7 linked regions of the Coturnix japonica genome follow. The protein of the gene in region 1 interacts with the protein of each later gene in a biochemical or structural test. Links are inferred from orthologs where the notes say so. Each region holds a gene or a part of one and is shown on either strand. Other genes may lie near its edges. The genes, in order: RAC1, PAK2, HACE1, ARHGDIA, CHN2, PAK1 and IQGAP1.

Region 1 (4,017 bases):
ATTCCAGACAGACTCTTTTCTTACAATAGTTTTACAATGAAAACCAGCTCCAGAAGAGCAGGAAGCTGACCGTTTCTCTGTCACCCAATAATCATCATTCCAAAGCACAGAACTTCCCCCAGCGTTACACGAGATCACTTGAGATTTCATACCACTGAACAGCTGCTTTTTCAGAGTGAAAACAAAAGCTGCTAAAAATAACTCCTAGCAGTGCTCTCCACAAGTGTCAGTCAGCAGCAGCTCCTGCCCTTGTTATCCCAGCACACGTTCCTACTGCTCTGCATCTTCCACAAGCACAAGCAACAGTTGCTGTTTATTTTCCCTCTAACAATCCTCACAATGAAGAGGAAAACAAGGGCAAAACAAGATTGCACAACCAGCAAACATGCTGTGTTTTGTAGCCAAATTAGAGCTCTAAAAAGATACCAGTCAGAGCCCTAAGAACAAAAACAGCTCAGAAACCGCCTGCTTGCTTCCAGCTGTTAAGGCTGCACAGGTACATCCACAGCTGGTTTGTTCCCAGTGGATCTCCACAGGGCACATAAATCAGCGCCTAAGTTTTATGTCATATGAGCAAATCTTTAACCTGCATTGTTTTCCTGAAGTACCAGAGCTTTAGCCTTATCTAAGCCAAACATTCCGCATTTACCAGAACGCCTGTAATGTCTTCACTCGTGAAGCAACAGCAGAGAAGCACCATAAAATATTTAAAAATCCCAGCAGAAGTCAATGAACAGATAGCAAAACTGAGCAGCGGCTTCTAGATGGGATCCTAGGAGGTATGTGCTTCTAACTGCAGAGGAAGGAAAGCCCACTGAATGCCGTGTTTTGTTCACACGTACGTGTAAGACTTGGGTGGGATGACACACTTTCATTTCCAGCAGGAAATGCATTGAGAAAAGGAGTAGTTTACAAAGCAAGAGACAAAGAAGAACTGCTTTGCTGAGCGAGTCATTGAGTAACACAGCGTCCGTACTGAGCTCCTCAACCCAGCAGAGGAAACAGGCAGAACTTTCTCCCCACCCAAACTCGATGCACCACGTTGATTTCCAGCACTGCCACAGACATCAATTCACTTTAAAAATGACAATTAAAAAAAGGGATTTTAGTCACCTTTAAAGTCAACGCAACTGAAAGGTTTGCCTGCAGTCACACTGCCCACCATCCATCAATTACAGTGATGGATCCATCAGTTACAGTGCTATGACAAGTCTCTGTCAGATGATCAAGTGCTCAGTACACTCGTGTTCGGCTCAAAACCCTGCACAGTAAGAGCAGGCCGAACACATGTGCCACGTGAGCTCAGTTTATCTTTCTAACAGCTGCCAGCTCAGGGACTCCAAGCCTTGTTGAAAAATACAAAGCCACACACAGGAAACTGGAAGGTTAATCCACCACATTCAATTACAGAGACAGCAGCAAGGCCATCAGCCACACTTACAGCCTCTGTCACCCGCAGGGGTTTGCTGTGACACCGATTATGCTCGGCCTACACTGGGATTTTTGTTTCTACCGAGGGGGAAAAAAGCCCCGTGGAAGTGCACAAGCCACGCCTTGTTCAGCTGCCCTGCACTGCTGCCCCAGCGAGAGAGAAAGGAGCCTCTGGGCCAATGGCAACACATGGTGGTGAGTACTGAGAAGCAGCAACACAACATCCCCATCACAGCTGCAGTGCTTATGCTGGAATCCAACAGGTCAGCTTAGTGCTAACCTGATCCTAACAACTTGTTTCTAACTAATGTATAAGGCACATCCCATTCGGAGCGCTGTAGGCACAGCAGTGATTTACAGCTGAGTACGATGTTAATGAGTTGGGTTTCGATTGCTTTCTCAGCCTCTTGCAGGCAGGAACCTCCCCAGACGGGAGCCGTGCGAGCAGGAAAACGCTCAGCTCACACGGCGCGTATGGTTCGATTGGAGCGGAACAGATTGTTCGTAGTTGTGCAGCAAAAAGCGGATGTAGCGATGTGAGTTCGGTACTTTGTGGCTCCACACGGTACGATCCGCCCCCCGCCCTTCAGCCCATTCCCCCCGTGACGCGCTGCCTCCTCCCCGGCGCGGCCCCGCACAGCGCACAGAGCTCACAGTGCTCAGCTCACACAGCTCACACCGCACATTGCACAGCTCACAGAGCTCACAGTGCTCAGCTCACACAGCTCACAACGCACATTGCACAGCTCACAGAGCTCACAGTGCTCAGCTCCCAGTGCTCACATCCCGCAGCCCCGCTGGGCCCCGCCCGGCCGCCCGCACCCCCGCCCCGCGCAGCCGCCTCGGTCGGCACCACCCGCCGCCACGGCGCGGAGCGGGCTGGGCTCGGACTCGGGCTGGGCTCGGACTCGGGCTGGGCTCGGACTCGGGCTGTGGCCGCGTTCGGGCCCGCACCGGCCGCGCTGCTCCCGCCCCTCCCGTCGCCTCCATTTGCCGGCACTGGTCGCCGCCCGTCCCGCTCTCGCTCCCCTCCCCCGCCCGCACAAGCCCCAACCCCCCGCTCGTCCCCGCGCCGCCCCCGCCCTCGGGATCCAGCGCGGCTCGGGCTCGGGCCCGACCGAAGGGGTCGGTCCGCGGGTCCGCACTCACCCGTCGCCCACCACCACGCATTTGATGGCCTGCATCGCGGCTGCGGAGCGGGGCGGGGCGTGGAGCGCCGCTCGATAAAGCAGCCGGCGGCGGAGCGCGTCTCAGTCGCTCCGCAGCGTGTCGCGGCCGCCTCCGCCCTGAGCCTGCGAGCGGGGACGAGGCAGCGGCCACCACCCAGGGCGGGGAGAGAACTGCGGGAAACAGGAAGCGGCCGCTCCGCTCACATCCGGCCGGGCTCCGCGCTGCCGCTCCGCCTCCGGGCCCGCTCCGGCCGCCCCGCCCTCCCGGGACACGCTGCGGCGCCGCCGCCCGGTTCCTCCGCCCGTCGGGGTCGGGCCGGGCTTCCCCGCAGCGCTGCGACACGGGCCGGTCCCGGTCCCTTCTGCTTTTTGCCGTCGTTGACTCGCACGGAGCCGCACAGAATCGCGCTGTCACGCAGCGGTGCTGCCGGGCCGGGCGGTAGCTCGGTGTGCCCGCACACCGGGATGCAGAACCCCGCCATCCCGCCCTGCCCGGCTCACTGCTATCGCATGGCCACAAAGCTCACAGCAAACGCTCCTTTGGACACCATTTTGTTATCCCTGCCTTCAACGCTCCTCAGGCCGGTCTGCCACGAGGCTGTTGTGCACAAACCGATGCACGACATTGTACGAAACGTGTCAGTGTGGAATTAGGTTCGCTGTACAGATTTACCGATGTAACTCGAGTTAAGGCCAACCTGTGGCACTCACTGTGTGCCACCACGGACAGATGCCCGTTTCCCCTCAGGCCGGTCCCTCTCGCTCCATGTGCCAGCACAGAGCGCAGCCAGAAGCCTCCTTCCATCGGCAGATCCTCCTGCTGCCCTCTCTCCCCCTGCCATGCTGTGACATTCATTCAATCTGCCGGCAGGTTTTAGCCCAGATCAGTGCACAGCCAGCTTCCCCAGGTGGGGCAGCCTGGACCACGCGTACCGGGGCTGCCAGGCTGCACAGAGCCCTGGGTTTCTTTTTTACCCTAAGGAAACCATTTATTTCCTGTAACTGTTGAAGTAAAAGTTGAGCAGATCAGGCCCAATGGCCCCAGGAGCCTTTTCCTTTCCACAGTTGCTGTTATTCTCCTTGGAAGACGCTGCTGGTTGGACTGATGCACACATTCACCATTCTCCTTGTGTTGCCATCCATCAAAGGAAGCACGAGGAAGAGACCCGAGCAGTCACTGCTTGTGCTGAGTGACCATTCACTGCAATCAACAGAGGTGCCATCCCAGGGATTTATCCAGTGATTCATCTCCTATTCATTTCAGAACATGTCTAAATTATTTGGAAACTATCAAATGAAACCTCGTCGGTGGACAGAGCATCCCACAATATTTATTCTCTTTCCTTTGGAGGGCAATGATAATTCTCAGATATTTCATGTCAGTGTCTATCTCTGAAAAGAGAAAGGCTGTTTTTAT
Region 2 (4,274 bases), on another chromosome or scaffold:
CAGCTCAGTCCCTTCCAGCAAACCACTGCCTGGCCAACTTTGGTCTGACTTCAGCATAAGTGAGATCCAAACTCTCAGACGAGAGGATGGCATTTTGCAGGAGATGGGCTTAGAGGAAAGATACTCTCGTTCCCATTCATCCAGGCTCTTTCCCTATCCGAAACCTCTCCAGGAAGCAGGAGCTTCAACAGTAAAGTCACTTAGAAAGCATCTGCCAGAAACAGTCTTTTCTCTCTCTTGTTTGGAAGATAACCCTGTTGATAAAAGCACTTCTGCAAAGACTGTAAATGAACAGTGAGCATAAGTTAAGAGTAGAAAGCATCACATTTATTTCCAAAACAAAACTCACAGGACCGGGCAAAGCTTTGACTTTACTCATGAAAGAAGCTCTGGAAAGTCTTTGTATGCTGACAGTTGTAAACTCCTGGGAGCACACGATGAGTCAAACAAATACCTGGCACCAGCACCAAAACAAGCAGCAAGGAAAAAAGGTAGAAGCTGAATTGGAAAGACTTGCCAGTGTATCCCCAGCTCTTAATCCACCTGCCTGCTGTCCTGCTGCTGGTTCACACACGCTGCTTTGGACCAGCTTGCCATGAAGACAGGGCTACCAGTTCCCATACTGGCCAGCTACAGCAGATGAGCCCTAATGATTGTGGACTGAACAATAACTGGGCTTTCTGATATCTGAGCTTCCAGAAACCTGCCAAGGGAACACATCACCTTCACCCAATCCCACAGGTGCAGGAGACATGCCCTCCTTCAGAGCTTAACATCGACTGATGCTTGTGAATAAACTTAAACACAACTGCTCTATTTACCATCCTCAGTCACTACACCAACACTGATGCTGCCCTTACATCTTATAGGAAACAGTGACCTTATCTATTACATAAAGCTCTCCATGCTCACTAGGAGTAACACTACACACCCCTGGTAAGGTGTGTTCATCAAAAAACACGTTCTAAGCAGCAGTTGTCCACTAGTCAATCGGAATGCAAGAAATAAAGCACCTGATTTCCCATGAGACCACAGCATGAATTGACATGAAACCACGCTTCCTCGCAGGAAAAGCTGTTTCCCCCCAGGCTGACCTTGCTGGGATGCAGAATCAATCCAGCCCTGGGCCAGGAGCTGCATGAAGAGGACTTCATCCTTTCTGAGACCCAGCCTGGTGTGCAGGTGCTCAGCTGATCATATAAAACATCACCTGTAGAAGCTCTCCATCACTACCTTCTACCCCCAAAACCTCGCTAAGTCAACTCACCTTTAGAGCTTCCCTCCTATATCCCACATGCCGGCCCCCAGAGCCTTAATGCTGCTCACGTTTACCACCAGGCCCAGCCAGTTCAAGCAGCATCTCCCCGAGTACCCTGTTTTCAAAGCAAAGTAACTTTTGCTCTGTTGTGGCTACACAGGCACGTCAGTAAGGGGAGCTGCTGCAGGAAACGCTGGCACAGAAGTCTCACGGAGCTCTTAGCGCCTCAGAAACCTCCTAATGCAGAAAACAGATTAAAGGTGAAACGTACAAGACTGATACAGGAACGCTAAAGCAGGAGGAGTCTTGGTAATAAAACACTTTGACCTTCTTCCCGATCCCTGCAGCTCTCCTATCAGCGCAAAGACAGAACAGAAGCATGGATACCCTTACCACTTCTCCTAGGATCAGTCAGAAACCAAACGGGCTTGAAGATTTTTCTCTTTTAAACCTAACTGAAAGGCTCCAATGAAATAAGCACAATGGTGGTTTTAAAGGGCCACATTTTAAAAGATGCCCAAGATGAGACCCGCCATACATGGTCAAAGCATTCCCCCACACACTGCAGCACCAGCCCAGAGGACACAGCAGCAGGTGTCAGTGCAGCAAACCCCCCATGGGCTGAGCACTGGGTCAGCACTGAGCCCAACCCGGAGCAGCATGAGCCTCCTGCCCCCACCTCACTGTGCTACCAACAGTTCAAAGCCCTCAGCCTGAAGCTGACGGACGTTTCTTTCCTTGTCCATTTCGTAGCCCAACGTTTTTAATCGCCACACTTCCACACACACAGAGGATGTTAACCCAGCACTTCTTAGGTCCGGGCTTCACGCACAGCAGCACCGAGCTCCACATCAAAGCTCTTTCTTCCTCTAAAACGTTTCTCGCTGAGTTTTTTCCTCAGGTGTGTCGATGTGAGCGCTTGAAAGCTCACAAAGGCTTCACGTTTTTAGCTCCTGTGTTCTCTTTCAGTTTCCCAGCCCGTCACAGCAGCCCACACGCGGAGCCCTCACCCCGCAGCGCTGGGCCACCTCCATCCGCAGCAGAAAGGAAGCGCACATCGGATCGCTTCCCGTTTTCGATGGCCGCCCGGGCTAAGGGCTCACGGCACGATCTCACGGCACGATCTCATCGCATCCCGCCGCCTTCCCGCACCACCCCGGGCCGACTCTCGGTGTCTCGGCCGCCCGCCGTTCCCCCTCACGGCCCCGAGGCTGCTCGGCCCGTCCCGCCCGTCCCCGTTCCCCCCGTCCCTCCCCACAGCTCCGTACCCTCGGGGCCGCCCCGCCAGGCGCCGCCCGGCCGCCGCCCCGCCGCAGGCCCGGCCGGGAGGGCCCACAAAGGGCGGCAGGTGGGAGCGGGCCGCGACCGCGCACTCACCGGGGCTGGGGCGGCGCCGGCCGCCTCCGGGACGGGCCGAACGGGGCAGCTGGGGCGCGGCCGCCACACGGCGCCTCTGCAATGGCGGCGGCGGCACCCACCGAGACGGCGGCGGCAGGAGCCGGAGGGGGAAGCGGAACCGCCGCGCGTGGCCACAGCCCGGGAGGGCGGGGCGCCGCCACCGGGACTACGGGTCCCGGCAGCACCCGGCAGAGCGGGGAACCACGGGAAGCGCTGCCACGGGCGGGAAAGAGGCCTCGGAACGGCGGACACAGTGGGAGCAACGCCGTCACACCATGGGGTTAAAGAGCCCCCTTCCACCACACAGATGGCGCCGCTGAGGTAGTGGATGAAGCAGCCAGCAGCATTCAGCACAGCCGGGGGAAAACAAGAGCCCTCTGTCAGAGCAGTTGCCAACCTGTGGTGGGCACAGTCACAAGACGAGCTCTATTGAATGCCAGAAGCAAAGGATGCCCAGGGGATCATGAAGCTACAGCTGGACAGCCATGAAAGGCTCATTCTGCTGGGGAACAGTCCTGGCTGCGTAGGAAGGAAGATGGACTTTGAAAACCAGCCGCTTTTAACTAACTGAGCTTATAAGGAAGGGCATTTTGTCCATCAGCAGCCCCTGAGCTGCTGTAAGGTCACAGTGCCACCTACTGACGACTGGAAACAGCGACTGTTCATCTCGAGCAACTCAGTTTTTCCATTAAGTAATTTCCTCTCCATATTTCCTTGTATTTATCAACCGCTCTGAGGGCTGAATTCGAGCCTTATAAATATTTGCTTCTAGTTTGTATCTTTTCACCAGCTTTCATCTTCCAAGGGTTATTTGAGCTTCAGATATAGGGTGAAATTCCCTTCAGATTTTCTAAGCTCTCAAATCCTTCGGTTCAAAGCAAGAGAAACTAATCCCCCCCCCCACTTACTACAGGGCTGTACCCATTGGTTTTTAAGCCTTCTACTGTGACAAGTAAGCAAAGAATGTCTCTTCCCAAATCCACACATAACCCATCTGGGCAGCATAAACGAGATTGAAGGATGTTTTTCATACCATTAACACCCACTTGTCAAGTCTGTTCATTTAAATTCAAGAAATACAAACACCTCTGTGAGGAAAAGCACCAGCCAAAGCCCAAAGCTAGACCAGGCTGAGGTTTAGGGTAAGGAATAGGAGTCACATTCTGCTCCTGACTGCTGCTGCCTTTGTACTACAGTCCATGAGGGCACCCTCATGCATTGCCAAGATGTGAATAACAGTAACATCTGGAGCTCAGTCATTTTGCACGTCTTTATTCCAAGCAGGTCACCAGAGAGAAGTCTCCATATCTGCAAACAGCAGTGAGAATCAAGCTGGAACAGAGCACGGTGGCAAGAAGAGTCACGACACACACTAAGACACTGTGTTGTGTGAGCCCCACCGGGACACGCAGAATCAGTTCTTCACTCTCCTACAAGGAAAAGTAAATTGGTTATACACACTTAACCAGCTTTTGTTGGTTTTTTAGCTGCAATTCAGGGGATGGGTAACTAGGCTGCTATTTAACTTGCCCTTTGCTAAGGCTTGATCTTGAATCCCAAAAGAAAGCTGAGATGGGACACAGCCTTTCAATTTACTGCCCTTGCAGAGAGCCAGCTA
Region 3 (2,520 bases), on another chromosome or scaffold:
ATTTGGTACATTCATGGATGGTGTTTTTCTGTTTAGTTTCAGCTGGAAATAATCCATACCACATTCTCTGGAGTAAAAGCATGGCAAGTAGGGATGATCAGATTCATTAAAAAATAAAAACACAATCCTATCCTGAACCAAAATGCTAATGTAGACCTACCATAAAGTCTTTTAAAAACCATTATAAATATATCTATTCTATCCCCATTTATTAAAAAAACAAAACAAAACATTCAGGTGTGCATTCCTGCATATGACTTGAGGAACATACCCCGGTGCTATAGAAATTTTGACGTGAGATTCTAATTATTATAGCCTTGACAGTTAACCTCTCAGTAAGCTCAGGTTCCTTCCCTGTGCATTTGCTTACGTCTATCCACAAACTTTAATAATGCCTTCTCAGAAGCTATTTCCATGGTGATTTAAAAGTATAAACAAGATGAACAAAGTCCTAGAAAGAAAACAAATATATGAAACTATACAAACTTGTCACATTCAGATTCCGGTAAAAAATATTAAAATTTAATAATAACTTTTAAACATACATTTATGTCAAGGAAAGAGCAAAGGCATTCAAACAAACAAATGGATGTAGAACTTAAATAATATTTACAAATTCTAAACTGTAAGTTGACTATAAAGTCACAAATACTTTAAATATTTAGTAGAATATAGTGTAAATTCTAATACAAATTAGATATTAATTTCATCTGATATTTTTCCTGTGATAAGTCTAATCTTTACATACTATATACATTAAAATACTAAAAAGTTATAAAACTTTATTTCTGTTACTATGCAAAGGAATGGAAAATACATCAGATCTGTCTTACTGTACAATATCCAAATTGAACTTTCCCTGGTGTTCTCTGAAAAAATAAACGGCACTTTCACATGCAACAAGGCATGAAGTACAAGCCTGTCCATTAGCAGTACGTTACCTGAATGCAAAATAAGCCAATGCCATTTGACCATCTAGATGAAAATCAAAAATAAGACAGCAGAAAGAGATTCTAACAAACTTCCCAATTCAGACTGAAGTAATAATGAAAAACGTGTAAACCAATTTCCATACAGACCTGTCATTTAAAAAAATGAAAATACAACATACTGAGAAAAGTAAGCTGTGTGACAGTATCAATGTTCATTTGTCAACACCTAATGGAGAAAGAAACCTGATGATCCTGTATGAGTTCTGAAACTCAGCCTTGCTGCAGCATCTGAGTTGCTATTCCACTAACAGCTTCCCAAAAAACAATTTCCACCACACTGAATTTCACATCAGTAGTCAGATGAGTTTTCTGGACTTCATTATGCCATTGTGTAACCGTAGCTTCCACAGTGCAATGCCACAAGAAGCCTGTCCTTCAGGATTTCTTTACTTGGGTATTCAGGTAACTTGAGCATGTTGATACTGGAAAGGGGAAGAGGAAAAAAAACAAACCAAGAACAGAAAAATAGAAAAGGAAAACTCATCAGAACAAGAAATGCAAGCATAAAGTTTTGTCTTCTAATTGAAAATTCCAAAGATGTCACATTCAGTAAATAAGGATCCAACAAAGCCAGTTCTGCATTACAATCCCATTGAGCAGCATCCACATATATTGCAGAAAAACTTTTTTTTTAATCACATTAGTTAAATTTAATACATTAACTTCACTTTTAACTTCCTTTATTGATTCCACTTGATTGAAGTGGAGAAAAATGAGCAAAAAATAAAAATTATACAACTGCCACTGAGTATAAACCCACCACCTGGATGATGGCAAGAGAATACTCCAGGAACTGTCAAGGACTTCTGGCCTTTTAATGAAAACACTCAAAATATTTTTGACTGGCATTTATAAGAAAAAGGAAAAGCTTTTATTTCTAAGGTGTTATGATGAGTATTTGACATACCACGTGCTAGATGTTGGTAAAAGGTTGGCAGTATATGGCACGGCAGCAATTGTAAAATTCTGCAGTCCACTCCCTCCCATTATATGGGCAAAGCCACCATGAGGCACTCTGGAACTGAGAATACTCACAGAAATTAGATCATCATAAGAAGAGTTAAGTAAAAAACACATTAGTAACACCACAATCTCTCTTAACTTACACTTTTATCAAGGTTCTCCCTTTCTCACATCAGTATCAAAATTCTCATTGTCTAAATACTTTTAATTATAATACTTACATTTACATTTATGTGCATTATACATCAAACTCTTTGAATGATATTCAGGAGAATTCTGTTTGCAAAGCAAGTTCACTTCTCCAACCAGTCTTTATAAGATCTCAGTTTACCACATTATCATATTTATCACACCTTATTTACTTATTTTTCTTCATTTGCAGTTCAAAAAGTACTGCATTATTAAACAGTTTATTCTCCAGTTGCTGCCTGTGTAAAAACTGACCCAAGTGTTTTGATACATCTTTTCATTTAGTACTTCAGATTTAACATTTCAGGTGTTAACTAATAAAACCATCATGGTGGATACATTCTCATCTGGTGATCATAGAATGGCCCGGGTTGAA
Region 4 (4,297 bases), on another chromosome or scaffold:
TCAGCTCCAAGCCAGACTTCACCCCTCCCCTCCCTCCCCCACGAGCACCCCATGGAAGTCCATGGGTGAAAAGTGGCTCTTCAAACTGACCCAAAGTTACCAGAAACAGCAAGCAATGTTCCAAACAGCAGCTCAAGACAGGCTGGGTCTCAGCTCTGCAAGGAAGCACAGGAAAAATGTGCAGCGAGGCCTGGAGGAGCCTCATGGAGCTGGCTGCACCACAGCCCCTCTGCTGCAGTGTTCTGATGGCATCGTGCTCCCACTGCGCCCGGCTGACCCTGCTCCCAGCACACAGCATTGTGCAGCCTCACATCACAGTGCTCAGCTGCTGCCCTGAGTATTCTGCCAGGGAGAAAGGAGGCTCCCAGCAGCATCAGGCTGCTCCGTGCTTCTATAACAATGCATTTCCTACAGCCTAGAATGAGTAGAACAGAGCTGGTCGGGTGCATGCAGGAGGAGCTGTCGTACTGCTAGGCAGAGCAGAGCTGAGGGACTCAACACACTGGAACACTGGGTCGGGCATCCATCTCATGCCATGCCCAACGTCCTGTAGGATCATGGCTCCAGCACATGCTGCTGCAGAGGTGGGGGCAGAGGAACGGGGACCTGAGGCCACAACCCCTTCAGAGGGCTCAGCCTCGTGACTGAAACCTCCCAGAACACCAACCTCCAGCAGCAATGGCACCTTCAGCCCTGAGCCTCACACCCAGGCACCACCCCAAGGCCTCTGCAAGGAATTCCCCCTCAGCAACTTTGAAACCCGGAAGGCACCTGCACACCCTGTGCGGCACCGCCCGAGCCCATGGCTCTGACTGCAGACACACCTGGCTCACAGAACAGTGCAGCTGCTGCCTCTGTGCCACCCTGCACTCAACCACAGGAGAGCACTGCGGCCTCAGGGATGTCCCAGAATGTCTGGAAATGGAAGCTCTGCTGGTTACTGGGGCCTGCAGAAAGCAGCAGAAACCAAATTATTTCCCATCTGCAGATCTGCACTCAGCTGCCTGCGCCGCTTCCTGAAGTCAGCAGTTTCTCCTGAGTTCTCTCAGTATTTTTAGTTCGATACCAAGGAGCGAACAGCAGTGAACACACGAGCCCCACCTTCTGCCAGATAGAAACACTGCTAGGAAAAGAACACCGTTATCAGGCAGGGATGAGCAGTGATTTCTTTACATGCCAGGGCCACGATCCCAAGGTACTTGTGCAGTGACATAAGAGTGGTCAGAGTCTTTACAGATGACCTAATTGGCTTCGGACATCCGTCAGGCCTCAGCTCAGCCACGGACACACACAGCGCCAATTCAAGCAGTCCACACCCTTCCTTTTTTCGCTGCAGCACAAGGGAAAGCTGATGAAGCTGCACAGCAAAGCCACTTGGAATCCAATGTGGCTTTCTGCAAGGTTACTTCCCACACAGGTCGGTTCAACCACCCTGGTTCATCTCAGGGCTGCATAAGCTGCTGTGCTGCAGAAACAGGAAGCAAGAGCTGCTAAAACCAGTTCAAGCAGCACAGACACCCCGTATGATGGCAGCTCGAGGGGCCAGACGTGAGCTTGCCCAGAGCCAGGTCTAATTGCGTGGCAGCAGCAGAGCAGTGACCCCCCCCCAGTGCTGCCTGCAGGCAGGTTTAGCCTCAGGAGCACAGCGCTGGGTGCTCCCACAGCATTGCTGAGCTGCTTTATGAGCATGGAGATCTCCCGCCTTGCCCTAAGGCTGATCCCTGTCACAGCTCCAGGCGTGGGGAGGAGCTGTGGGTCGCACAGCAGCTGCTGCCAGGTGCTCTGCAGCCAGATCCGCAGTTGTGCACCGTGCTGGTGACACTGCCCTGCACTGCACAACACCTGCAGGTATCACCTGCCACGAGCATCACCCGAGAACGAGCAGACAGCTCCCACTGCTTATCGGATTTAAGAAGCCCTTGCAGCCTCGTACTCAAACAAGCTGCACGGTGAGCACTATGCACCTGTAAGTACAACGACTGCAGAGCTACAGCACGACCACACTGCAGGAGCTGCAAATGTCTCCTGGGCACCACGTGGAAGCGGCCGCCACTCAGCATCTCTGGGACAAGAACGGGACCACTGCAAGAGAACCGAGCCCATAGAGCACTATATAGAGCACTACGGCCGGGACCTGAAGCTCTCACAGCGATAATTGAGTGCTACAACCGAGAGCTCTTTAAGAGAAGGAAGTCACGGCTTCACGCAACGCGCCCGCCCAGGCAGGGAAACGGCACCATCCTTCCGGCACGGCCATGAGGCCCCGCAGCCCGGACAGCGCTCACTGCCGCTCCATCCTCCATCCTGCACCCGGTGCTGCACCGACGTCTCGGCTCTAACGCCAAACGAACCCAACCGTGGGGAAGTCGCCTTCAAGTTCCTCCTTTCAAAGCTCGAAACCATTTATGGAGAATCTATTTGAAGCCAGCGGGTCCCCACCCGGCTCCGGTCCGACAGCGGCGGCCGGGGCGGCCTCAAGGCACGAAGGCGCCGCTCTTCGCTCCGCTCCCCGCCGCGCACCCGGACGGCGCCCGCTGCCCCCTCGGCCGCGCCCCGGACCCTGGCGTGGCGCTGAGCCCGCGGGACCCGGCCCGGCCGCAGCGCACATGGCGGATCCCGGCGCCCCCCGCCCCGCTCCCTTGGCCCCGCCCCGCCCGGTCCCGCCGTCCCGGCCGCTCTCACCGTCCGCGCCGCGGTCCAACGCCGCCGGGATCCGCCCAGCCGCCCGCGCACCCCCGCACTTCCGGGACACGCCCGTCACTTCCCGTTATACGAGGGCGTGTCCCGCTCCTCACTTCCTGCCTCGACGCTGCGTTCTGATTGGCTCAGGGAGTACGCGCGCGTTCGCCGCGCAGCGCGGGCGCGGGAAAGGAGCGCGCGGCAGGGAGCAGGCGGAGCTCTAGACACGGTTCTATTTTATTACGGCAAAGGTGAAAAAGCCACCTCGGCCCAACAGGCAACCAGTAAAATTTATCCCAAAAATAACTCGGTACAAAACGGGTCTGGCTTCAGAATTAAAAAAAACCTTTACATGAGTTTAAAACCTATTCCAAAACATAAAAGTAAAACAAATCCCATCCTTGATATTAGTAGCCACAGTCGCACACCCCTCCCGCCACACAGCATGGAATGAGATGTCTGCAGTCCTTCCATGCGCCGCTCAACGCTTTAGCTGGTGTCCATCTGGAAGAGAACAGAGAGGAGCGTCAGCAGCCACCATGACCCCATAACCCACCATGGCCCCATAACCCACCACGGCCCCATAACCCACCATGACCCCACAACCCACCATGGCCCCACAACCCCCCAGCTCCATCCCCAACCCTGACACCCCCCAGCCCTGCCTGCCAACCCCAGGATGCTGCTGCCTCAATGGCGGAGATGCAGCCCAATCCACAGCACACACTGAGCAGACCTAAACTGCACCTCAGTGCTTGGGCCAAGTCCCTGCATCACTTCTTAACTGATTCTCAGTTAAGACTTTAGTCTTGTTGTGGCACAATATCTGAGCTCATTCTGAATGAAAGAAACCATGTGCACTGCTCTGCTCATCCACCTGCATTAGGGGTGATCAGCATCATTGACTTTTTTTCCTTTCTTAGCACCAAGCTGGTTATTTTATGTGTTTTTTCTTTTTGCTTTTCATTTTTCCAGCCTATTATCCCTTTGGGCTTTGGTTCATAGCTTTCGTTCATCACACATCTTGATTACTGCCAATTCTGGTTGACACAGGCTTCAACAAGCCAGGAGAAGTTGGAAAAGGGGCTATTTATTACTCATGAGTAACAGTAGATGTGGAGAGCTAAGGCAGCTGAAGGAACAGGGCAATGCTCAGCTTTAGAGGGAGGCTATTTAAGTCAAATGACCTGAAAAACAATTTCTCTTTCCAGCCAGCTGCCAGTGTTTATCAAAAGGACGCTGTAGGTACCCGTGACCATCATGTGAGCAGCACTTACCCTGGCATTGTAAGCATCCAGCTGTGCATCTAGTTCTTCTGCAGAGAGCTGCTGTTTGGAAGTTCTTCCAGCCCCTCTGCCTCTCCCTCTGCTCCCACCACGACTACCTCGCCTGGTACCTCCACCACCAAATCCTCCTGTACCACCACGGTTTCTGGTCATTCCACCTCTGTTTACACTGTGATTTTTAAAAAGCAACTGTTATAGTGCATTCTGGTTAACCCCAACAGGCACTCAGAAGGTTGCAGGACACGAGGAGGATTCCATGCTTCCTACACAGGCCAGTTCACTCCCCGTGCTGACTGGCACAGCGACTCCCGCGGCTTCTCACCTCTGTGCTG
Region 5 (3,500 bases), on another chromosome or scaffold:
ATATGCTTGAGTATACATGGACAAAGAAATGTAACTTGTGAATAATTTTAGATGCAGCTAGGCAGTATGTGTACAGATATTGACACTGCAAAAATATTTGCATTTGGTACTTGTTAGAAAACTCTCACTATCAACTCCAAACAAATATTAGTTTGGAACAAAGAGCACGTTAACAGGACACAAACATTTCAGCAGGATGGCAATATTTGATGACGTATGGGAAAACATATTAAAAAAGTCAGTAGATATAACACTTTTTTTTCTAAAGACTTAATAGATTACCTGGTATCAATTACCCAAAATTTTACTTACCTTCTCAACGGGGGTATTTTCTTCACTTGTTACACTTGCTTTTCTTGATTCATTTTTTGTTCTGCTCAGCCTCCGGGAGACCTTCTCTCTAAGCAAAGTGGCGTATCCAATGTGTTCGTAGATGGGATTTGTCGTCATTTTGGAAATATACTCGGAAGCCTTTGTTTCTATATACAACGTTATCAAGCCATCTGTTACTAGATCATGGATTGATTCAAATCTTTTCTCCCCAACGAAGTGCTTCCCATCATAGAACAACCTGTAGTTTAAGGTCTGATTGCCAAATCTGCATATACCAGAAGAAAAGGAGGGAGAGGACAAAAAGACAGAGGGAAGAATGTCAGAGGGAACTCACACTGTCAAAACACTTGAAGAGATCATTTTGCTGACATGCTGAACTGTCTGGACTGCATATGGAACATGAACATGGTGCAAATGGATCTCTGTGGTGCTCCAGCTCAAATTAAAACCCAATGGTTTTTAATTTGACCATTACCCCATGTAGTACCCCATGGGTAGGCTACAAGCCATATGACTCAGATACACCTGAGTTGAATATAAATCCTGAAGGGCCAAGAGAAAGCCAAGAGAAAGGCACATTGTCACTGACATAACCTTATGTGGGATGTATAATTGTGTTGAGGGCTGGTCTGTCCTGAAATGTTTCTGAGGTCCTGAAACTAGAGAAATTTAACTATCACGGCCATTATTTACAGCCACTGAAGAGATGGACACTGTAAGCAAGCAACTCAAACCCAAAGGTCTGAGCCACCCTCTGGTAAGAAGTGAGCAGCTCCTAATCCTGGGAGGTGTAAACGATGTGTAAATTCATGGCAGCAGCATGTTCTGCTACAACACCAATGTGGAATTCCTCTCTCGATTAAACAATTCAATAATATCATACTGGCTTATGTGGCTCCATGTTGTACCAAATGTGCACATTCTGTACACTTTGTAGGGCATTCAAATAAAATGATGTAACTCTTATTTTTTCACCCAAGTTTTTCATACAAATTCTCAACTGTGAATCAAATTCATTTTTTGAGTCTACAAATATTATCTGGATGGACTTAGAAATCATGCAGTTGCGTCAAAGAAGGAAATTTGCCATAATCCCCATCCTCTGGTAGTTCTTTTTAGTCTTTAAATCTCTCTCCAAAACCTTAAGAAATTACATTTGTCCTTTTTCAGCTGACAAAAGTTGTTTTTAATTTACAACACTTTGCAATTGGCACGACTCACCAGCTTTCCTACTCTACCATCTGCACATCAATATGAAGTCTCAGAAGGATTTCAGCACCATTTCACAGCCACTTGGGATAAGCAGTTTTGCTACTGGCTTACTAATAGAAGGGTAAAAATGAGGATGCACGTCCCACAGAAGGAATAATGCTATAAGCACTGTAACATTTTGCCATGGAGTTTGTTTTGTCAAAATCCAGTGGAATATCTGATCCTTTTCACATTAACACAAAATACCTTTAAGACTGTCACATGGAAAGGTTTTGGATGGCACAGCTAAGACGGGAGCAGCTTTATCTTCAAGAAAAGGCACCTGTGAGGGGTAGTGAGGCAGTAGCTCAGGATTTTGCTGAATTCTGAGTTCAGGTGTACAACAGTCTTCCTACTGTGAGCATCCCATGCTTCATACTGTATTCTACAGTAAGCTTGAATTTCACTTGGGGGAAGAAAACTGACTTCTGATCTGCTGCTGGATCTTGTTATTTTTCTAGGCCTGATTCTTTAAATATCAACTCCTATTGCTGGTGTTGGTGTACACAGACTCACAGGTATCACAGAGCTCAGAGAACAACCTAGCTGAGTCTTCTGTCAGGATATTCTTCCTTTGTCCTCACCTACATACTGTAGAGTTTTCAAGTAAAAGCTTCATGTTTATCCCACTGCAACACACAATTCTAGATAGCAGAAATGCTTAAAAGAGGCAGTTCTAAAAGCGATCTCCTAGCCAAATGCTAACATACAGACATAGTTAACTGTGGTGCCGCAATAGTTCGGCTGCTAACAAGAGGGTGCAAAACCACCCCAACATCATGCAGCGTTTTACATACCCGTGGGTGCAGACATCCCTCAGGCAGGACTGACAGCGCCTCCTACACATACATCTTTACAGCTGAAATAAAACAGCATTTACCTGAGAGCAAGTGTGTAGCAGCCGGGTTGCCTCTGGCTTTCTCTTAGAATGTATGCTCCTTCTACACCAGCAAGTATCTCATCTGCTTGCTCCCGAGAAATGATCCCATGGAACCTAAGGGAAGATATTGAAGCAATTTCCAGAACAATCCAATCAGAAATGCCTCCCTGCTCTACTGAAAACCACTGAAAAGCTTCTGAAATGAGACTGCAGATGCAGCAGGACACAACACTGTGTAACATCTGTGTGAGGACCTGGTAAGTGAGAAGAGCAAACAACAGCCAAGTGTTCCCCAAAAATCTTTTTCCATAAATATACCATGTTTTTTTTACAACTTTTCTCCTCTATCAGTCAATACTTCTTTTCTGTAGAAGTTTTGTGGGGACAGAATAGAAAAAAATGGGCAATAATGGTAGTATTTTTATTTTAAATGCTGATGATTTCAAAAGAAGAGGTCATTCTTATTCCTAGTTTTCTTTAGCTTTTAATACCACTTCCTTAAGATTGTAGCTGAAATTGAGAAGAAAAATGGCAACAGTCACTCAAAATTCTTTTCTGCCCATACTGAAGTAGAAGATATTTCACATCCTCAAGAAAAACACCGTTTTCTTTATTTCAGTCAAATTCCTCATTCTGTGTAGCAGTACTTCTGTGATTCTTTTGCCATTGTATTTTATGAACGAAAGAGGCCAGGGGATGCATAATAAACCTTACAATAATCAATGCTTAGTTGTGATCCTTCCACAAGTACAAACAACATCTTTACAGCAGTTTCAGTCTTAACTCTGACACACATTTTGCTAGCTGATAAGTTTCCAAGCGTCTCCTCAAAGGTTTCGAAAGTGCCTATTTTTGCCACTGTCTCTGAAAAATGGCACCAAATTGTACTGACCTGAAGCGTTTTCTCTTTCCTGACAATACATTTGAAGTGGCATATTTCTAACACTGCCTCTGGCATGGTAGTGGAAAAGAAGAAAAACACACTGGATGTAAATGCGATTGTTGTCCTATTCTCTTAAGTTGTATTTTCACAACT
Region 6 (3,500 bases), on another chromosome or scaffold:
GGAGAGTTAACTCAGAAAGCAAATCAGTGATTTCAGCCTTGCATTCTGAAAATAAACAGGCTCCATCCCTGCCTACAGCTATCTTTAGCAACCTGATCATCTAATGACATATTTTCTTCTATTAAAACACAATTGCGCAAAAGAACCCAGCCACTGTGACTCAAAACTTTGGTAGGAAATGGGAAGAGAGCTCCGGGGAAGGAGCAGAAAAAATAATCACCAGCTTTTCCAGCAGATTAACTTAGCCTGGATTCAGAGCTTCTTTCTTAACACAAAGGTACAGGAGAGAAGTGGAAGCATATACCAACCCTTGTCCAATCTTCTCAAAGCGCGTGTACTTCTTTTTTGGATCACCCACACTCACGATGCTTCCTACAAAAACAACAGCAACAAAGTAAATCTGAGAAGTACTTTTCCATACAACCATAACACCATGACGACTTCTGTCAGAACAAACGTATTTACCACCTTTCCATACCAGTAATAACATAGCCATTATTGATCTAACTAATAGGTTGTAAGACATGGGGAAGAAGCTAGAGCTATTGCTCTGGGCATTGCTCAGCTTCTCTATTAGTAGCCCAGCAGCAAGGGAAAGTGCAGGAGGCTTTTAGTAGCAGTTGCCATGCAACTGCAGCCATGCTTTCCTGGGTTTAGAGAGCACCCTGAGGCAAACTCCGCTCATTTTCCCTAATGTGGCTGTTCAGCTGAAAGAAAGTCTGTTATTGCATCCCTTGGAGGGTAAAGCATTTGGCTTCGTGTTCTGCAAGGTGGTGAGGGGCTGCTCAGGCTCAAGGTGGGTTTGGTATCCACAAGAAACATAACCTCAAGCTTTCTGTAGTGGAGGGAGCTCACAGAACAAGGGCAAAGAAGCACCAAGGCCAAGGATTAAGCTAGAGAAGTCACCAAAAAGAGCATCACTGGAACCCCAAGCTCCCTGAAGACAGTGATATTCATCATGTCCCCAGAGCTGGAGGGGAATCACATCCTTCAGGGCTGAGGACATCCAGGCCAACAATCCCTAGAGCTCAGGTGGGTACAAATCTCCCCTGCAACATTAGATTTTATCAGTGGTCTTTTTCAACATTCATGATTCAAGGATTCTAATAGGATCAAGGGATGCAGCGCTGCCTCTGCGTTGTTTGCAAGTTGCTCAAGCAGCCAACATACGGTGCTGCCTTTGCAGCAGCCTGGGGCTGAACCTAAACAGATGCATATTGGCAAGGAAACTGCTTGTGGTCATCATGCCAAGAAATCCAGTAGCGAGCAGAGTAAGAGCAGGCTATTTTCAGACACCAATGGCCAGCAGCCAAATCCACGGGGTTTAAGGCAGACAGAAATAAGAGGGGAATACGGCTCCTGCCTGGGGAGGAGGGTGGGAAGAGAAATCAGACTGTGTACACCCTACTGCACAATTACTGCAGCAATGCTGTCTGCCCTGAGGACACACATTGCTGGACTAATGTTCATAAACTTTCTCTTAAAGCCTAACACAGGATGCAAGTTCAGACTGTGAGAGGCAAATGTCTGCCCAAGGCAGTCACAGGACAGTGCTGCAGGGCAGCAGCGAGAGTCAGCTCTCAGTCTTGTCCTGTTTAACCCTCTCTCATCTGTAAAAGGAGGGAGTGTCTCCTACCTCCCAAAAAGCCAGGTGAGGATTCATTAATGTTTGTACTAATGCTAAGAGGTGAGGATTTACAGAAGCAAACGTATTTGCATTAGAATTGCACTTTTTTCCAGACCCTGCTTGCCCTACCTGGTCACAGAATGGCTCAAATCCTTAATGATACAAAGGTCCTGCTAACTCAGCAAGTGAAGAAGTTGTTGTTCTGAAACCAGTCTTGAAAGGGCAAGTTTTCAGATAGCAAACACTTCCAGCTTACGTGCCATCAATGCAATTTAGGCCTAATCTCAGAGGAATTAAGTACTGAAGTTATGCTCTCAGATTAAGTTTCTCTTGATTCAGGTATTAGCCTTAGCTTCATTAAATAGAAGGAAAAACTTTCAACAGAGGAGTCCAGCCTGACTGTAGGGGTACGAACACAATTTACACCATCTGACATGCAAGTCACACATGTAATTAACACGGGGTTAGTAGTTCAAAGAATTAGAAATGCTTTACTCTAATAAAAGCTGGCCCAGGCTGAGGACAGCAATCAATTGCACAGAACAGCTGTTTCAGCTGTCAAATGCTGCCATAGCACATCCCAGTAATGCCAGGCAGTAGAGGAGCACTTTAAATAACACCCAAAAACTAAAGGTAAGGACTGTCAAAGAAACTGGGACGCAACAGAAAGACAAAAATAACACCCACAAATGTGGGTTATTTACTGTGTATACATACAGTGCCAGGACACTTAATATGTCATGATATCAGGGGAGGTGAACTTGGGTTTGCAAAGATTTTCTCCGTCTTTTAGTCACAGCTGAAAGTTCTGCTCACCCCAGGTGCAACGTTTCCATATAATCACCCACACTCTATAGCTATGGAATATCAAGATGTGGAGCAGTCTCAGACTTTGTGGTTAAGTAGATGTTACATATTCAGGGCTCGTTTTGCAGAGTCTGAGGATCTGCAGCTCCCAGAGCCCTTCAGCTGGCATCACAGGTGCTCGGCTTACATCTACATTCTCCCTCTTCATCTGCCCCAATTTTGGCACACAGTCACAAGGCAAAGTTTTCAGTAAGGGATCTCAAAATAGCTGTGCCCAAACATCTCAGCTTTTAAGATACCAACACAAGAGAACATGGAATTTGATTAATTTTCTTTCCAGGAAGACATACTTAATTTTTCCAAAATCTCTTCATCTGACATTTTTGGCTTTTTCTTTTGTTTCTCCGCGTTCCTGATCAACATGTCGGGTGTCGCTGTGTTGTTTTCCGAGGGAGAAGAAATAGGAGAGGTGGCCACATCTCTGGTAGGAGGAGGAAGAGGGTCTATCACAGAGCGGGTGTATATCTGAATTTTATTGAATAAAAACACGTATTAATACAAAGCAGATGATAACTTAAACACCATTTATCTTCTCCAGACCTGAGCGTGACTGTGCTGAAGGAGGTATTGGTACTCACAGATTTGGTGTGTTCAGGTCGTGGTGCTATCACAGGGGGTGGAGCTGCATCGTCATCATCATCTTCATCTTCAGACACAGAGGGCACCGCAGGGGTCTCAGACACAGCTTTCACATTCTGCATGTGGTCACACGAATAGCAAAAATAAAAACCTAATTGCTTGTTGTAAACGTGTAACAAATGTCTGATTAAGCTCCTAACAGAGAATGTCTTGAAGGAAACACAGAAAAAAATTGTTTTGCCCAGAGAGGCTGCTGATTCCCCATCGCTGGAGGTGTTCAAGGCCAGGTTGGTTGGAGCCCTGGGCAACCCAGTCTACTACCAGATCTGAAGTACCTGCTGGTACTTGATGATCCTTGGGGTCCCTTCCAACCCAAGCCATACTATGACTGAAATTCACAGTCCTCTACACTACAGACACTCCAAAA
Region 7 (3,500 bases), on another chromosome or scaffold:
TATTGACAAATTGGAATTATACTTTGTTCTTCTTGCACTTCCAGATGGATGGAGGCCTGTCTGAATGAGGAGCTTCCTCCCACAACAGAACTGGAAGAAGGATTGAGAAATGGTGTCTACTTGGCCAAACTCGGAAACTTTTTCTCCCCTAAAGTGGTTTCTGTGAAGAAAATTTATGATAGGGAACAGACTAGATATAAGGTGAGAGCTGCTGGTTGTAGATACTGGGTTAGGTAGATATCTCAAAATGATGATCTTAAAAGTCCCTTCCTACCCAAACCACTCTGTGATTCTATGAGAAATGTCTCCTTTGCTTGAGAATACTGGGTAAGTGAGGGCTGTGGTTTCTTAGCTTTATGTCTGAACTTACAGCTGTGAAAGAACTTGTGTTGTAAGTAAGCGATATAATTTTATACATAGAAGACTGCTAACTTTGAGTGCACTTTTTTTTCACTGTCTGTATTGTCAGATGTGATATTTCTTTTGCATGTCCTCTCATTTCTGCCTATTTTTATTTCAGGCAACTGGTCTCCATTTCCGGCACACTGATAATGTAATTCAGTGGCTAAATGCCATGGCTGAGATTGGCCTCCCTAAGGTAATATCCGTGTTGTATGTGCAAATTGGTATGTAATCTCAAAAGTAACTTCGTGTTCTGTGGGAGCATTTCCTGTTGCACTAAAACCAACAGGGTTCATATGGTTACTTTTTTGTTTTCTAGACTTGCATCTGTATAGAATTTCTATCTGAGAACTTGATGAAATCTTCCATTTTGCTGTGAGAATGATTAGGTGCATAATAGTTGCTTCTTCTGTCCCATACCACAAATCTTGCATATTGCCTATACTACGTTGTTTGTATTCTGCATTCTATTGTGCAGTATCTGTGCTGCTGTTAGATTGTGGCAGTTTTTCAGAAATCTGTGTTAAAAGAAGCAGCGCAACAGAAAACAGTAGGTTCTCAAAATTGAATTTGTTAATTCGAAATTGGTTTTGGGTATGGCTTAAATATAAGTTATTGGCAATGCTATGGGAATGGCTCGATAGCTCAGAGGAGTTTAATAAATACTGTTGCCTGAAAATACATGGACCGTGGTAGTGCTATGTGGGCACATGAAGGAAAGGGGAATGCGTTTTTATGTGCGTAGAACTTAGACAGGAAAAAAGGAGCCTTGGTTTGGGTGGAAGATTAAAAAAAAAAAAAAAAGTGTGACTTTAAGCATGGGAGACATGCTAGGGTCATAGAAGTGTGAAGAGTTTTGTTTTTGTAGATTGTTTCATTAGTGTACTGCAGAAGATTTGGTCTTAGCACAGTTAGGACACTGGATTATGTAGCGGCTGTATCATTCAGACTGCTAATTTTGTTTTATCTTCAGATATTCTACCCAGAAACCACAGATATCTATGATCGCAAGAACATGCCGCGCTGTATCTATTGTATTCATGCACTCAGGTAAGGCATGCTAGGCAGAAATCTTCAGTTCCTTCTGAAATCTGCCTGGAAAGCTGAAAGGTGAGGGAAAGAAGGCTGGGCTGAAGGGTGAATGGGGACAAATTCTCTAGCAGAGCTGTTGTACCAGACTGGAGTGAAGATCTACACTGAATGCCTTAGGTTTGAAGGGACCTTAAGGATCATTTAGTTCTGATCATCCTGCCATGGGCTGGTTGCCCCACACTATATCATGCTGCCCAGGACCCCATCCAACTTGGCCTTGAATGCCTCCAGGGATGGGCCATCTTACAACGTTCTTCAGGCAATCTTTTCCAGCATCTCATATCTTTCTACTATCCAGTATTTGTGTTTAATGTCATAAAATCATAGAATCTTTCAAGCTGGAAGGAGTCCTTTAAAGTCATACTAGTCCACCTCCCCTGCAATGAACAGGGACGTCTACAGTTAGACTGAGTTGCTGGGACCCTGGTCCAGCCTGACTGTGAGCATCTCCAAGGGCAGGGCTTCCAGCATCTCTCAGGGCAACCCATTCCAGTTAAAAGTGAGTTTCATCTGAGGCACGGTTGTTCATTTTTTTAGAAATTTATTTTAATGCTCCCTTATGATCGGATAATTTGCTAGAGGGTACAGATCCATGAGCTGTGCTGAGCCAGCTTGAGAGGGAAGCAGACAACTTGCTTCTCTTTCCCCAGTCCCGTTTGTCTTAGCTTTGCATCAGTTCAGTTTCTCATCAAGCTTCTTTGTCAATCAGATTAATTCACTGAAATTACAGGGGAAAAAATGAATAAGTGAATGTGTTTATGTCACACTAGTAAGTCACATCACCTTATTAAGACTATTTTGACACAGCACTGATGAGGCCACACCTGAAGTAATGTGTCCAGTTCAGACTTCTCAGTGCAAGAGAGATGGAGCTGCTGAAAAGAGTCCATCAAGGCTGCTGAAATGATTCAGGGTCTGAAGCATCTTTTGTATAAGGAAAGGCTGGAGAGCTGTGTCAGTTTGGTCTGGAGAAGAGAAGGCCGTCAGGGGCAAGAAGGATCAGATCTGATCAATGTGTATAAATATTTGAAGGCATCATGTAATGAAGACTGAGCAAGGTTCTATTTGGTGGTCTCTGAGGACAAGGCAAGAGGTAATGGGCATAAACTGAGATACAGGAGGTTCCCTAAGAACATCAGGACATACTCTATTCACTATGTGGATAACCAAGCAGTGGAATAGGTTGCCCGATGAGGCTAGGAAATCCTTTCCTTTGGAACTGTTCAAAAGCTGTCTGGACACTGCCGTGGGCAACTGGCTGAAGGTGATGTTGCTTGAGCAGTGGGATTGGGCAAAAAGACCTCCAGAGGTCCCTTCCATCTTCATTCTGTGTGGACTTCAAAGTGGTGAGCAAGTCACGTGCAGCTGAGGAGGGAAGGAGAGAGGAGGATCAGCTTGTACCTTATTGGTAGCTGTGAGCTGTTACATGGGTCGGTATGCTTGAATGGTTCCTTTGATCCTTTTTATCTCCTAAATTATGATATCTTAAAATAAACAATGAGGAGAAATTACTCATTCTCATCACTTATTTTCTTTTGTAGCCTGTACCTGTTCAAATTGGGTCTGGCCCCGCAAATTCAGGATTTATATGGGAAGGTGGACTTCACAGGTAAAAATAAAAAAAGGAAATTTGTACCAATGTGTGCTACCTTTATTTCAGCTGTAGGAGATATTGTCAAGATCAATGTCAGGAGTGTTAACATAGGCTTCCTAAATGCAAATTAATTTAAATTAAAGAGTAATGGTTGTGAGCTGTTCAAGAAGTTAAAGCGGAAGGCTTATTTTGGGTAATTTTGTTCAAACCGTGACAAATTCTTAGCCAGGTCGTTGGTTCTCTGATGGTATTTTCACAAATAACAGCTCCTGAATTTTTGACTCTTGTTGAAAGATGATTTGACATCACTTTTATCCCCTTGGGAGTGGTTTCACTTTGATACTTAGTAAGCAGTTCTGGTTTCCTTTAACAGTTTAGAGTAGAGCTGTGCGTGTACACACAAGTGCCTCCA

What was found.
Region 2: the proteins of RAC1 (region 1) and PAK2 form a complex in vitro, tested with the Homo sapiens proteins (2 studies listed by BioGRID and IntAct). The link is inferred for Coturnix japonica from reciprocal best matches to the Homo sapiens genes RAC1 and PAK2.
Region 3: of the proteins of RAC1 (region 1) and HACE1, one has a biochemical effect on the other in vitro, tested with the Homo sapiens proteins (5 studies listed by BioGRID and IntAct, with this or other methods). The link is inferred for Coturnix japonica from reciprocal best matches to the Homo sapiens genes RAC1 and HACE1.
Region 4: the proteins of RAC1 (region 1) and ARHGDIA are reported together in a solved structure, tested with the Homo sapiens proteins (2 studies listed by BioGRID and IntAct, with this or other methods). The link is inferred for Coturnix japonica from reciprocal best matches to the Homo sapiens genes RAC1 and ARHGDIA.
Region 5: the proteins of RAC1 (region 1) and CHN2 form a complex in vitro, tested with the Homo sapiens proteins (2 studies listed by BioGRID). The link is inferred for Coturnix japonica from reciprocal best matches to the Homo sapiens genes RAC1 and CHN2.
Region 6: the proteins of RAC1 (region 1) and PAK1 form a complex in vitro, tested with the Homo sapiens proteins (17 studies listed by BioGRID and IntAct). The link is inferred for Coturnix japonica from reciprocal best matches to the Homo sapiens genes RAC1 and PAK1.
Region 7: the proteins of RAC1 (region 1) and IQGAP1 form a complex in vitro, tested with the Homo sapiens proteins (3 studies listed by BioGRID). The link is inferred for Coturnix japonica from reciprocal best matches to the Homo sapiens genes RAC1 and IQGAP1.

What each region holds. Positions count from the first base shown.
Region 1 is NC_029529.1:8,463,519-8,467,535, forward strand, and holds the start of RAC1 (ras-related C3 botulinum toxin substrate 1), read right to left. Parts: upstream 2,801-4,017; 5' UTR 2,616-2,800; coding exon 2,581-2,615; intron 1-2,580. UniProt on the Homo sapiens protein: Plasma membrane-associated small GTPase which cycles between active GTP-bound and inactive GDP-bound states.
Region 2 is NC_029524.1:3,560,574-3,564,847, forward strand, and holds the start of PAK2 (serine/threonine-protein kinase PAK 2), read right to left. Parts: upstream 2,801-4,274; 5' UTR 2,636-2,800; intron 2,401-2,635; exon of another isoform or gene 2,269-2,400; intron 1-2,268. Other genes in the region: PIGX (phosphatidylinositol-glycan biosynthesis class X protein), read right to left, coding at 3,928-4,086. UniProt on the Homo sapiens protein: Serine/threonine protein kinase that plays a role in a variety of different signaling pathways including cytoskeleton regulation, cell motility, cell cycle progression, apoptosis or proliferation.
Region 3 is NC_029518.1:62,808,258-62,810,777, reverse strand, and holds the end of HACE1 (E3 ubiquitin-protein ligase HACE1), read right to left. Parts: intron 2,014-2,520; coding exon 1,900-2,013; intron 1,415-1,899; coding exon 1,312-1,414; 3' UTR 501-1,311; downstream 1-500. UniProt on the Homo sapiens protein: E3 ubiquitin-protein ligase involved in Golgi membrane fusion and regulation of small GTPases. Acts as a regulator of Golgi membrane dynamics during the cell cycle: recruited to Golgi membrane by Rab proteins and regulates postmitotic Golgi membrane fusion.
Region 4 is NC_029533.1:4,449,828-4,454,124, reverse strand, and holds the start of ARHGDIA (rho GDP-dissociation inhibitor 1), read right to left. Parts: upstream 2,801-4,297; 5' UTR 2,683-2,800; intron 1-2,682. Other genes in the region: ALYREF (THO complex subunit 4), read right to left, coding at 3,169-3,183, 3,957-4,134, 4,288-4,297. UniProt on the Homo sapiens protein: Controls Rho proteins homeostasis. Regulates the GDP/GTP exchange reaction of the Rho proteins by inhibiting the dissociation of GDP from them, and the subsequent binding of GTP to them.
Region 5 is NC_029517.1:30,877,969-30,881,468, reverse strand, and holds part of CHN2 (beta-chimaerin), read right to left. Parts: intron 2,579-3,500; coding exon 2,465-2,578; intron 599-2,464; coding exon 313-598; intron 1-312.
Region 6 is NC_029516.1:172,852,954-172,856,453, reverse strand, and holds part of PAK1 (serine/threonine-protein kinase PAK 1), read right to left. Parts: intron 3,190-3,500; coding exon 3,073-3,189; intron 2,960-3,072; coding exon 2,785-2,959; intron 373-2,784; coding exon 309-372; intron 1-308. UniProt on the Homo sapiens protein: Protein kinase involved in intracellular signaling pathways downstream of integrins and receptor-type kinases that plays an important role in cytoskeleton dynamics, in cell adhesion, migration, proliferation, apoptosis, mitosis, and in vesicle-mediated transport processes.
Region 7 is NC_029525.1:18,435,996-18,439,495, forward strand, and holds part of IQGAP1 (ras GTPase-activating-like protein IQGAP1), read left to right. Parts: intron 1-44; coding exon 45-201; intron 202-520; coding exon 521-598; intron 599-1,375; coding exon 1,376-1,452; intron 1,453-3,035; coding exon 3,036-3,103; intron 3,104-3,500. UniProt on the Homo sapiens protein: Plays a crucial role in regulating the dynamics and assembly of the actin cytoskeleton.